Linked DNA regions of Oryzias latipes. The protein of the gene in region 3 purifies or fractionates together with the protein of the main gene of each other region. This does not show direct contact. Links are inferred from orthologs where the notes say so. Each region holds a gene or a part of one and is shown on either strand. Other genes may lie near its edges.

The links. The genes of interacting proteins can lie anywhere in the genome.
Region 1: the proteins of hipk2 (region 3) and dcaf7 purify together in Homo sapiens (affinity purification with western blotting; 3 studies listed by BioGRID and IntAct, with this or other methods). This does not show direct contact. The link is inferred for Oryzias latipes from reciprocal best matches to the Homo sapiens genes HIPK2 and DCAF7.
Region 2: the proteins of hipk2 (region 3) and death domain-associated protein 6 purify together in Homo sapiens (affinity purification with western blotting; 3 studies listed by BioGRID). This does not show direct contact. The link is inferred for Oryzias latipes from reciprocal best matches to the Homo sapiens genes HIPK2 and DAXX.

What each region holds. Positions count from the first base shown.
Region 1 is NC_019866.2:4,065,295-4,069,427, reverse strand, and holds the start of dcaf7 (DDB1- and CUL4-associated factor 7), read right to left. Parts: upstream 2,948-4,133; 5' UTR 2,700-2,947; coding exon 2,562-2,699; intron 2,303-2,561; coding exon 2,144-2,302; intron 1-2,143. UniProt on the Homo sapiens protein: Involved in craniofacial development. Acts upstream of the EDN1 pathway and is required for formation of the upper jaw equivalent, the palatoquadrate. The activity required for EDN1 pathway function differs between the first and second arches.
Region 2 is NC_019869.2:16,001,132-16,005,486, forward strand, and holds the start of death domain-associated protein 6, read left to right. Parts: upstream 1-1,408; 5' UTR 1,409-1,710; intron 1,711-3,065; 5' UTR 3,066-3,093; coding exon 3,094-3,336; intron 3,337-3,699; coding exon 3,700-4,101; intron 4,102-4,220; coding exon 4,221-4,352; intron 4,353-4,355. UniProt on the Homo sapiens protein: Transcription corepressor known to repress transcriptional potential of several sumoylated transcription factors. Down-regulates basal and activated transcription.
Region 3 is NC_019864.2:30,242,851-30,246,500, forward strand, and holds part of hipk2 (homeodomain-interacting protein kinase 2), read right to left. Parts: intron 2,447-3,650; coding exon 2,262-2,446; intron 2,147-2,261; coding exon 1,984-2,146; intron 1-1,983.

The sequences.
Region 1 (4,133 bases), on a different chromosome or scaffold from region 3:
ATTCAATCAGTTTTTAGTACTTTATTCTTGCTATTTTTTGGGTTTAAATAATTGTTCTCACAAAAAGCAGACTATTTCTTACGTTGTGCTGCAAATTGTCTTGTGACCTCGACTGGAGCGGCAAAGGAAAATGATATATCCACACCCAGCAGCCAATCAGAATTAAGTATTCTTTCAGACCATGGTATAAGCATGTATAAACACTGGGGCTGGGCGATATGGTCTAAAAAAATGTTTTTAATTGATTTCTGATTTTTTCCGATTTTCCCCCCTACCTAAGGAAAGCAATAAGTACAAACGGCAGAAAACTTAAAGCAAATTTTGATTTATTTAATCAAACGCAAGACAAATGTAACCCCCATTTCTGGGATGAATAATAAATAAATGAACACACTCCGGGAATCAAAGTCCCAGCTGTGTTTTAAGTCAGACTTACACCTTGAGAGTAGCACCATTTCTAAAGGATTAACAATACAGCTCATATCTGGGGTCTAAGGTTTTAATTGAATTAATAAAGCCCGTTTTCTCCACAGTATATATGGGTACCATGTCTTTGGCTGTATGCAAAGCGACCGCTTCAGTGATTGTTCTCCACCGTGCCCCTAGGGATGGGTACTGAGCCCCCGTATTGAACGAGCCCCAGAGCAACATTCTTCAAGATCTGACCTCAACGGTTCTGCTATCCGTACTGGAAAAGTCGCATTTTTTCTGTGTCCCACAAGATATAAACTAGAGCTGTCACGGTGTGGGATTTTTGATCACCGCGCTGACGAAGCAGCAGGAGTCGCGGTCAACCCCCCCGCCTAACACAACATCCGGCATCGCAAATGAATACACAAATAAATGTAATTCATAATTGCAACGCAGTATTCTTTATTAACAAATAACAGTAAAAACTAACTACGAAGTAACTAATGAACTAACCATATAGGTGTTGGAGAATGAGTGTGCGTGTCAGCGCACTGCGTGCGTGTGTAAGAGGAATGAGCGCGTGCCGCGCGAGAGTGAGTGACAGCGTGCTGGGGGGGGGGGCGTTCATGTTTGGAGTTACGGATTGAAGGAGAACTGTAATAAAAGGTTTCCCCCAGGTGTTGGAATAGGTTTGTGGTGCTGTTGCCTTTGACTGCGATGGGCTTTAGGCAAATGTTGCAGCGTGGGGGGGGGGGCTCTTCCTCCACGTCGGTGGCAGTAAGCCATGTTGTCGCTTGCTGTTTCGTGTGTGCTATGATGTTGTTGTTTGTCGCTTGCCACATTGCCGTGTGAAACTAACGCTACGGAAGCTCCGGGGAGCCAAAAATGCGCCATTACACAAAAACTCGATTCAGTTATTTTTGAAATCGCCCGTAACAAAAAATTCGAATTAATTCATTCAATCGATTTTTCGCCCAGGCCTAATAAACAGCATTGCGTGTGTTTTTAAAAAATACTTAAACTGATGTTAGAAGCCAATTAACAGGCATATATGTAACCTGCCAAATGATACTTTTAAAAGAAACTGTGAGGCATCACAAAAGTTAGAAATGGGAGGAAAAAAAGTATAACGACAGGTTTCATTACATACATGGAGCCTTTGTCATAGTGGTTCAGCATTATAGCTATAGTTCAGGGAAATTTAAAAAAAATATATACAAATGCTGTGCTTTTTAAAAGAAAATAAAGAGGTAACATACACCTTTTTATTTAAAAAAAAATGCTCCAGACATTTAGTTTACTTTTACTTACTTACAGTTCTATCTCATTTCAAAATAAAATTTCCTCACTTCTTTCACTTTTGTCTCTATTTTGAATTGTATTTATGTAATTTTATGTTTAAATGTGTTCTATAATCTATTTTATAATTTATTTATTTTTTTGATTGTTTCAAGTCTATAAAGCACTCACTGTTGTATGAAAAATGCCCTATAAATAAAGTTTCATTTGATAATTGTAACATTATGCTTACAGGTCTGAAAATCCCCTTTAATATAAAAGAGTTTTAACACATAAAGCAGCGATGCGGCAATGTAAAGCATGACAAGTATAAGTTCCTTCAAACACACCGATGTAAAAAAAAATCCCAAAGTGAAAAGTACTCGAGTTACAAAGAGATGACCCAAACAAAAACATGACAGACGCAGCAGGTGACCGGGGTTTGACATCCTACCCTCCAAATGCGCAAATAGTCTCCACTGGTGGCCAGCAGGTCTGGGTAGACCCCTTTGGTGTCCGGGATCCACATGATCTTGGTGGTGGGGTAAGGGTGATCAAACGTGTTCCTGCAGACAAACTCGGAGCTCTCCTCTTCCAGACCCACCAACTGAACCTGAGTAGAGATATGATGACAAGAAAAAAATAAAAGCGATTCGTTCTAATAAAAAATAAATTAATTAATTAATTAAATTAAATTAAAAAAGGGGTACCATTAAGCATCGATGGAGACGTTATTACGAAGATAATAAACGCAATAACATTTTGCAATACCACTCTAAACATGTACAGAGCTAGCATAGCACTGATTCAAGCGCGTTTGTTCGTGAAGGGTTAGCTGACTCAAAAAACAAAACATAAAACAAGCTACGCACCTTGTTGTTATACTCTTCCACAAAGCTCCCGAGGGCCAGCCGAAAGCGTTTATCCGGACGAACGCTCCAGTTCATTGCGTACACCGTCCATGGCGCCTCGTACTTGTAGATTTCTTTTCTTTTGCCGTGAAGCGACATCCTCACGAGCTGTTGTCTGAGCAGCTAACACGCTAGCCCTAGCTTACTGTCAAATAAGAAAACGCCGCGACGAACTTTTACCGGCTCGTTTTCCTATAATAGAAAAGCATCAAAAGAAGCACGGTTGACTGTTAAAAACGTAAATCTTGTTCTAAAACAAGATTTTACAGCACTTCACTTAACAAAGAGTAGCATTGCTTGTTACGATCTTGATGGCGAACCATCTAACCGACGTATGAAGAACTTCCTGGTTACACTTTCAAAATAAAAGAGAGTTTTTAAAGAGCACTCATTAAAACTTTTAGTGAGAACGTTTGAGTTTATGTTGTTAAATTAAACATGTGTTTTATGAATTTAATTATAATTAAAATAAAATTTACGTAATTTTTTTGCTATGTATTTCTCACTGTCAGGCTGTGTTTCAAAATAGTTTTATTTTTAACGTGTCTACCGGAAGCGAAATTATGTAGTTACGTCAATCTTGATTACTGTCTGCAGTTGTGACCATAAGGGGGTAAATACAGTTTACAGGCTTCAAGATTGTTTTTCTTGTAACATCTTGTCTACATATCCTAATGAATTTTATGTTTATTATACGATGCAGCGTCAATGTTTACTTTCTAACGAATGTGCAGTCTTGTTTCTATGTTTAATTTTGACACATGAACCGGAAGTAAGATTATTCCAATTTGATTGAGCCCTTTTAGTTGCTTTTTCTGTCCAAAAAAATATCGTATACCACACCAAATATCGAACCTCCTTGTGACGGTGTGGCACTGTCAGCTGGTTTTGAAAGGAACTTGTATTTGTTGCTGTCAAAAGTATTCCTAGACAATTTATAATTCAATTAATGTAAAGTTTATAAACCATGGTATGTTAATGAATGGCTTAATTACCACAACAAGTGGCCATTAAAGTCCTCAATTTTTCACCTCTGCTCCCTGAAACATTCCGCTTAAATTCCTCTCATTTAAATGCAGCAACTTTGTCTTGCTGCAGCTGATCTTCATTCCTCTGCATTCCAGAACAAATCTCCTAGATGTTCCTCCACCTGCTCTCTGCTCAGATCGTGATGTCAACTGCAAACATCACGATCTATAGAGGTTCCTTATCTGCCAGTTTGTCCATCCATCATCACAGCAAACAAGAAGGAGCTCAAAGCTGATGGTGCAGTCTCACCTCCAGCTTGAACTCTTCTGTCACACATACAGCACGTCTTATGTCTTCCAGCTCTAATGGATGTCCTGAACAACTCAAACATACTTCTCTATCACTCCAGACTTTCTTATACAAATGACAACTCATCTTGCAGTAAAAACACTCTATTGGTTGGTGATTTAAAAAAAAAAAAAGGAAATCTTGGTGTGTCTTGTTATCTGTCACTGCAAGAGAACACATGCTAGACTTCTGGAAAAAGTTTTCTACATCGTTGCT
Region 2 (4,355 bases), on a different chromosome or scaffold from region 3:
GTTGTTTTCAGGATCTGATGAGGCTGCTAAACCCAACAAGGCAAGTTCACTCATTTATTTACGTAAATGTTAACAGTCTTTCACTCTTGTGAATAACATCTGTTATTTCTCTCACAACAGGATAAGTGATGACAAAGCAGACGTTTGTCACTAAATCATCAAGGTGTCTCATACTTCTGATGGGGTTTCATGTGCAGCTGTCCAGCTCTTTGGTGCCTTTGGTTGATTGGTTGCTGGTTTGGACCGTACCATTTTTACAGAAAATTATTTGACCACCCCTTTCTTTTAATGTTCTTATCTTGAAAGCATGACATCATAAAAACCGAAAGAACGCTTCAAGTTTCACTTTGGGGATTTCTAAACTGTGACTGGAGGCTGTGTTTTGTTTTGTTTTTTGAGAAATATGTTTCACTGAAGATGCAAAACAACTGTCCTAATTAATAAAGTAAAGCACGTTTGTAAATAGGAAGCCCAGAATATTTGTACATTGTATTACAATTAATGAATGTCTGTCTTTTTTTGTGTGTTTGTCAAAGTTCTGCTGAAATGTTGACAAAATTGTTGTAAAAATTCCAAAAATAAAAGGTTGTAAGAAGTCATTTTAATTGTGCTTTATCTGTCCATTTCTAAACGTTTATTATACTTGATGGCGTGGTTCTCCAAGTTAACTCTTCTTACATTTGGACATAATATGCATCATGATTAACCATGTTTTAACCAGCTCAGTGGCCTTGTGGTAGAGTGTCTGCCCTATGACTGGAACGTCGTAAATTCAAATCTAGGCCGAGTCATACCACAGACTCTAAAAATTGACACTCAGCATTAAGGGGGTGAATCCAATCCAGTTCCTGTGTACGGTTGTGTCTGCTGCTCACAGTCAAATGCAGAGAACAAATGTGTGACATGTAATGGTATTAACCAGGTTTAAAAATCACTTTATTATGCCCTACAAATGAGGAGTCTGAATGCAAGAAAATAATCTAGAATAGAGGAAATTTAAAGCTAAAACAACTGCAGCTTACGTAGGCAGCTAAATAATAGACATACTTTTATTACATCTTTTAGAAAAAACAGCTGCAACTTCCAGCTTTTTCTGCCACAATCATCACAAAAATGCATGTGAGATTGCGGAGGGACTGTACATCATGCAGACTATGAGTTGGATGCTGATGTGCCGCGGGATTTTTGTCAAGGATAAAGCGTGCTTTGGCTCTAAAAAGGTTGAAAAACACTGATCTAGAGCGCTCAGACACTCTGCAGTTCACTGTTTTTTCCACTAAATGTCTGTTTTGTTGGAGAGTGTACTCACAAATCGTAACGGAAGATCCGTAGAAGAAGACGTAGTGTTGTTGTCTTCCACTCTGGCCAATAGCAGACATTTTTACTGGATCTTTATTCTTTCCACCAATGAGAGGCCTTGGCATTGGTCTGAGTGTCGCGGGCACATTTTCGGTTTCTAGCAGTTCGTGGAGCTAAATTTACGAGATCTAAATTAGCCAAAAGACTTTGCTATCCTAAAAAACGCATCCATGAAGTATTAATAACTTTAATCTGTTAGTTAAATAACCAGGAAATCATGCCGTTTTTCCTATATTCCGTTTGGATTTACAAGAAAAGTTACAGTAGCTGCTCTGTTGCTAATCTTAGCTTAAAAACTGCTGTGCGTTCCTGAAGAGCAACATTTACGTTTCTATTGTTCCTGAATAAAAGGTGAGTGTTTTAATAATATGCACCCAGTCGTGTTTTCTCAGAATTATAAGCACCGTATCTGCCATGTTTTGTGATCAGTTTTTACAAAATTTCCTTTTGTTTTCACTTTAGATTAAGTTCTGTTGAATATTCGCCTTCATTTTTTTTCGTTGACCAGAAAACTACGAGAGAGACAGACTCAGGATGTAAAAGTAAACAGGAAAAAATTTTGGTAATTAAAGTTGATGTAAATCAGATAAGGCTACTAGACAGATTTTTTTTAATGTTGAATAATCAAAAGCAAAATAGACATCAGTGCTATTTGTCGTCGAGCCATTTCATTTTTGCATTCCGAGCATTTTCGTCTTAAAAATAAGTCTAATTTGTGTCGATCAGGCAACAGAAAAGTGCCATTTCTTTGTCTGCATCTCGGTATTTTCAGGTCAGCATTGCAGCCGTGTGGACGATTATTATTGCAGTGTTTTTATCTTTTTGGATCTTTAATAATCCTGTTTCACTGTGAGACGTTTTTGTCCACATTCTCACCAGATACCGTGTTGTGTATCTTTCTCTCTCAGCATCTCAGTACATCATGACCCATGCGTTGAGATTTTCATCTGTAAAATATATAACTAGCTTTGTGGCAATACAGTCCAATCCTTTAATGAATAAAATCTAGATTTTTATTATTCATTTGACATTTAGAACTATAAATTCAACAGCTTCCACGATTCAAACCTGCATTTAGGGCCTTCTAGACTGTTCTGTTCTTTATGGTTAAAACATCTCATATTCATTTATTCATACATTGTTAGAGGTGCTGGGAAAAAGGAGGGCTAGTTTTGTGCACACAACATCCCACTTATTTATTGTGGTTCAGTTAGTTTTCATTGATAGAAGCAGGCTTGTGATTGGACGTCTTGTGTTTTGGTCACTCGTGAAAAGGGCAAAAACAGTAGAGTCCACACCACGAAGAGAAACTGACAACGTTTACCAGAAACAACGTTTTTTTATTCCTGATGAATTTTATACCTTTTTACCAACATAATCATGTGTTCATATCTGTGGTTTTCATTGGACAGACAACTGTGCTTCCATTCAGGCTCTATGGGTTTGTTTATAAACATTTAAAATAAAATAAGCCAATTAGTAATAGATTTTTTTATATAAATTGATTTTTTTGGACCCCTGATAAATTATTAGTTGCTGGTTTTTGTAACAAGGACTAAACAGTAGGAAATAAGTTGTGAAAAATGTTTTTCACCACTGACCCCCCAATATTTACTAATATATGAATAGATTTTTGAAATCAATAATCCTTCCACGTCTTGCTTCTGTACCTTTTGTCACGACCAGCGTGTTTTTCCTGTTTGCAGATTCACAGCAGAATCCGTCAGGGTTTAGATGGCGGTGGCTCCTGCCTCAATGGGAGATGAGATCATAGTTCTGGATGAAGACAACGAGGACAGCCCCCAGCCCTCTTTTTCCGCTACTACTCCCTCCTCTGATCATGGCTCCAGAAACGCCTTACCGCCCAAAGGTCAGCACTTGGTGGCCGTGCACGCCGCCATGTCCCCAAGTCACCAAGTCTCAGGGAAGAAGGAAGCTCAGGGTCTTCTAGCTGAGAATCAGAAACTGTTCTCTGAGGTGAGCTGCTTCAGGTTTTTACTGAGCCCACCCTCTCTTCTGTGGTCTTCTTCAACTTCTAAAATAAAGAATATTTTAACACCCAGCAGGTTTTTGTTTGTGCTAATATTGCTGATATCTACTGTTTTTTTCCTTAATATTTTGTGATAAAATATGTTTTTATGTGCTTCGGAATAGATTGTTAGAAACATTTAAGATGTTAAATTGTTGAAAGCTTTTACAGTTCATCTGTTTGACTTTCTCTGTGAGTCACAATTGAATCTTTTTCTGTTTTGTAAAAGTCTTATAAAGGTGTAATATGAAAGGTGTAATGATCTGCATGATTCATCTTCAGTGTTTGATTCTCTCGTGTCTTTCCTGTAGTTTGTGGAGCATTGCTCCGCTCAGACCAAGGAGTGCCCGGAGGTCCTGGAATACCTGCAGCTGAAACACTCCAAGACGTGTCCAGAGTTTCTGTCCTCTGTGGAGTTCAGGAACACTCTGAAAGGATGTCTAACTCGCGCTCAGAACAACCGCTCCAAAACCTTTGTCTTCATCAATGAACTGTGCACGGTGCTCAAACAGCACAGGGATAAAAGGAGACTGACCCTCTCCAAGGCGGCGCCCTCTACCTCAACATCAGCTTCTGTTCAGTCTACCTCCGTTCCCCCTAACAGTGAGAAGAGGAGTGACGAAGAGCAACCTTCTACTTCTGGAGTGCAGGAAGACAACAAAGAGCAAGATCAAAAAGAGGAAAAAAGAGCTAAAAGGGCCTCAAGGAAACAGGTCGGTACAGACAATAAACCTAAAAAAAAAAAGACAGTCAGTGTTAATCCTGTACTTGTTTTATTCCTGAAATCAGACGATGCCAGACTAAATATCTGGAGCACATGTCTCCCTCTCAGATCGCGTACCTGGAGAATCTCCTAAAGGTTTACAACGATGAGATCTTCCGTCTGCAGCAAACTGAGCTTAGCCTGAATGACTTGGAAGCTGAAGACTCCATCTACATCCAGGAGCACAAGCTGAAGCGGAAGGTC
Region 3 (3,650 bases):
TTCACCAAACTAATAATATTTCAGTGACAACAACTAACCTCAAAGAAAAACCAAAAGTCTCCTGCAACGTCACGGAAATAGTAATCAGATTACCTGACAAACCTCGAAAACTTAAAGAAGATCCAAGCTGATGTAAAGGCTGTGTCACACAGCCACTGTGTACATTTTGTGATTATGAAATGATGGTCTGTGGTGATTTATGCGTAAGTCATAAATGTTTCTTGCGTTCATCATTCATCGATGTCCAGCGAGGGTTTCAGCCGACGGGTTTTTATGTCAATTCGGTTTTGTTCAGAAGTTTTGGTTGGTTGAGAATGACCCAGTTTATGCGTATTTTACGTCATTTATACGCAACTATTATGTCAATCTTACGCAACTGAGATTTTTGCGACATCCATAAGCAACTTGGTAGCTTTCCACGTAGACGGACGCTAAGTTTAACTCCCTTTTTTTTAAAGTTTGCATAAGGGAGGGGGGAATAGATACGAAGAGAGGTGCATCCACAAGCACAGAAGCACCAAAAGATGGTTTCCTATCGTCTTAATAAATCGCCAACTTAAAGGGGAACGACTCCAGCGAGACAGGCTGCTGGGACGTTGATCCATGCAGATCATAGCGAGATGGTCTTGTTGCCGGGTAAGACGGCTCAGCCGGTGACGGAGGCCTTAACGGGGTAAAAAAAAGAGACGGAGAGCCTCGCCATCAGACGATCGGCGATTCCAGAAAAACGTCAGCAACTCACTTAGGAAACAGAGAGATTCTAGACCCGCAGAACCCGGTAACGGTAAAAGGAGAAAAAAGAAAGGGGGGGGGGGGCAGAAAAGGACAGGACTGAGACAGAGGAGGGGGAAAAAAAGCCTCATGGAGGGATTCTTAAGGCCTGAAAGCCCCAGAATGCAAGGCAAGCAGGAAGTGGGGTTTGTCATGTGTGTAATCAGCACTTTGTGACAATCCCACAGGAGCTGGGCCACAGACACAAATGCAGGCAGACAGACACACACATGCTGAGACGTGGCAGTAAGCCTGAAAATGTGAAGGCAAGCTAGAAAAATGGGTACAGAAAGTTAGAAGGAAGCCCTGGAAAGCTGCAAATCTGCTAAAAGAACGGCATGTTTCTGCTTTGACTGCAAACTATTCGATAAAGACTTCAAACTTTGTTTTTAGACAATCAAGATATTTGAGCAGGTGTGAAGCTCTTTTTAACCTCTCCTTGCTATACATCTTTCCAAGCTTCATTCAAAATCAGCACATTGGAGAAATGTTTGTCTCATTAAGAGACAAAAGGATTATTGTTAAAATAAAGCACCTTTGACAACACAAAAACTTGCTTTAGGACTCAAGAAACTCAATTTGGTTGAATTTAAAGGAAGTTATTTTGAAGCCCAATAAAAGTTAGACTGCCATTATTTTGGAAACAAAAATGTAGATTTATTTTCTTAGAAGAAGTGCTAGCTTTAGATTTGATAAGGATTTATTAAGATGGACCAACTTGTACTAAGATTCTCTTTTTGGTGTAGTTTTTTTCATAAAATGAGACATTTCCACTTATTACACTAGTTGTGTGTCACTGTAATCAAAATGAAATACAATTCGGTTCGTAAAAACTCAAAAATTACAAACTATTTGCTTATAAGTAGCAAAAAAAATAGGAATTGAGCTGTAAAACATTCAGTTTGAAGAAATTTTAACAGCTTTTTTGTGCATATTTTCCCTTTTGGAATGCTTGTGTGGAATTTCTATAGATTTTTATTTATATGATTTCTTGTTAAGTCAAAATTGCTGCATGGAGAGATCATTTTCCTGCTTTCTGATTTTTTAAGATGACTGTTTGCAGCCTTTTGTGCTTTTACTTTGAAAGTTTTCTGGTCTTATATACATCCTCTAATTTTCCAGCTTGTTTCCAATGCTTCACAGAGGAATAATTTCATTGTAACCCACAGAGAAAATGCATGAAACCTCATGGTATCAGCCTAAGCCGCTAACCTGGCTGTGCACAGTGTTCAGCTGGTTGTTGAAGGTCATGGTGAGGTTGGTGGAAGTGCTGGGGGCCACGTGGGTGATAAAGGGGGTCTTGCTCTGGTTGACCGTGTCGTACATGTTGACCCGGCGCTTGCAGATCTCCATGTTCTGGAAGCAGGACTTGACGCTGCACGGACAGAAGAGGAAGAAGGCGTGAGCGTCGGCAGCAGATGCTCTCCGCCCGCAGGACCGATGATCACCGGTACACAAACGGCGGCGGGAGCGGCGGCTGAGCAACGTACTGTGTGCTGTGTGGGAAATCGAGCAGATGCGACATGGTAACAAAAGGGTGGTTGAGCGTTTCGATGGGGGTGATCCTTTTGTCGGCGTCGATGGTCAGCATCTTGGTTAACAAGTCGATGAACTCCCTCCTGTCGGCCTTCTCCGCCAGCAAGTCGCTCCCCTCCAGGTCTGACGTCATGTTCACCTGCAGGCAGAAAGCAAAGGCGCCTCAGCATTTCAAACGCCCACTGATTGAGAGATCAGCGTCTCTCGGGTTCCTGCAGATGACAGAGAAAGCTCTCCTGCAGTGCGTTCCCACGGAGGGACCTATTAATACACACAAGGCCTCATCCGTTAGGGTGTCAGAGTGTGGATCACAGAACCTTGCACCTTCGTGACATTACCAACATTAGTTCTGGTATTCTTAGCCCCACTTGAAATATCTGCAGGCACAATGACAGAGATTTGTGTCTGTTTTGCTGAGGCACAAAAAACAAACATAACCTGGAAAGCAAGCTAGAAAAGCTGGAACCAAACTTTTTCCAGCCCAGATGCCGGATAGACACGGACTAAGTTGAAAGTCACAGTTGGATTTGCTTTGCATTGCAGAGATTCTGATGTTCAGAGTCGATTTAAAGGCCCCACTCTGATGAAAATCCTGTTTTTGGTGTTTTTAACATGTTTTTGGGGCACTTTTCTGATGACAAGTGTCGTCGTTTTTGCAGTATAAGTCGCGTTTTGCATAGTTTGGCCGAGGGAGCGACTTATACCCAGGTGTGACTTATATGTGATTTTAAAAAATCATAATAGGTTCATATTCGTTATTTTCCCACTAAAAACCGCCAGAGGGCGCTGTAGGTGGGTGTGTCAGTCTTTGCAACAGACAGTAACACAGCAGAAGAAGCGCCGGCCCTGGCGGATTTGTTTAAAAGTGTCGCAGACTGTGAAGAATTCAACGGATTGAGTTATTAAAAAGGGAAATAAAAGAGTTTTGTTGATTTGTTAGCATGTTTTTTATTCTGTGGTAATAAACTGTAAGCAGCAGATTGAATTTGAATTTTTCCCAATAGTGCGACTTACAAAGTATTTTTTTTCTTTTTTATTATACATTGTTTGGCGTCTGCCACCTATACTCCGAACGACTTATAGTCCAAAAATATTTCTGTATTGAAGTCGTGAATCAGGAGGAGACAAAAGAAATTTAGATTTGAAAAAAGATCGAAGAAAAAAGATGAACTACTGCCACTCTGCAGAAAAAAAGACAAGGTTGTTTGATTTTGACTAATAAAGGCATAATCATAATTAAAGAGCACTGGGAAAGCTTTGGGAATACATCAAAGGACGATCGGAGTTGGTCTTCAAGTGTTTTCCGTCCAGAGAAGGAGGTGGCCAACGGAACAAGGTCACAC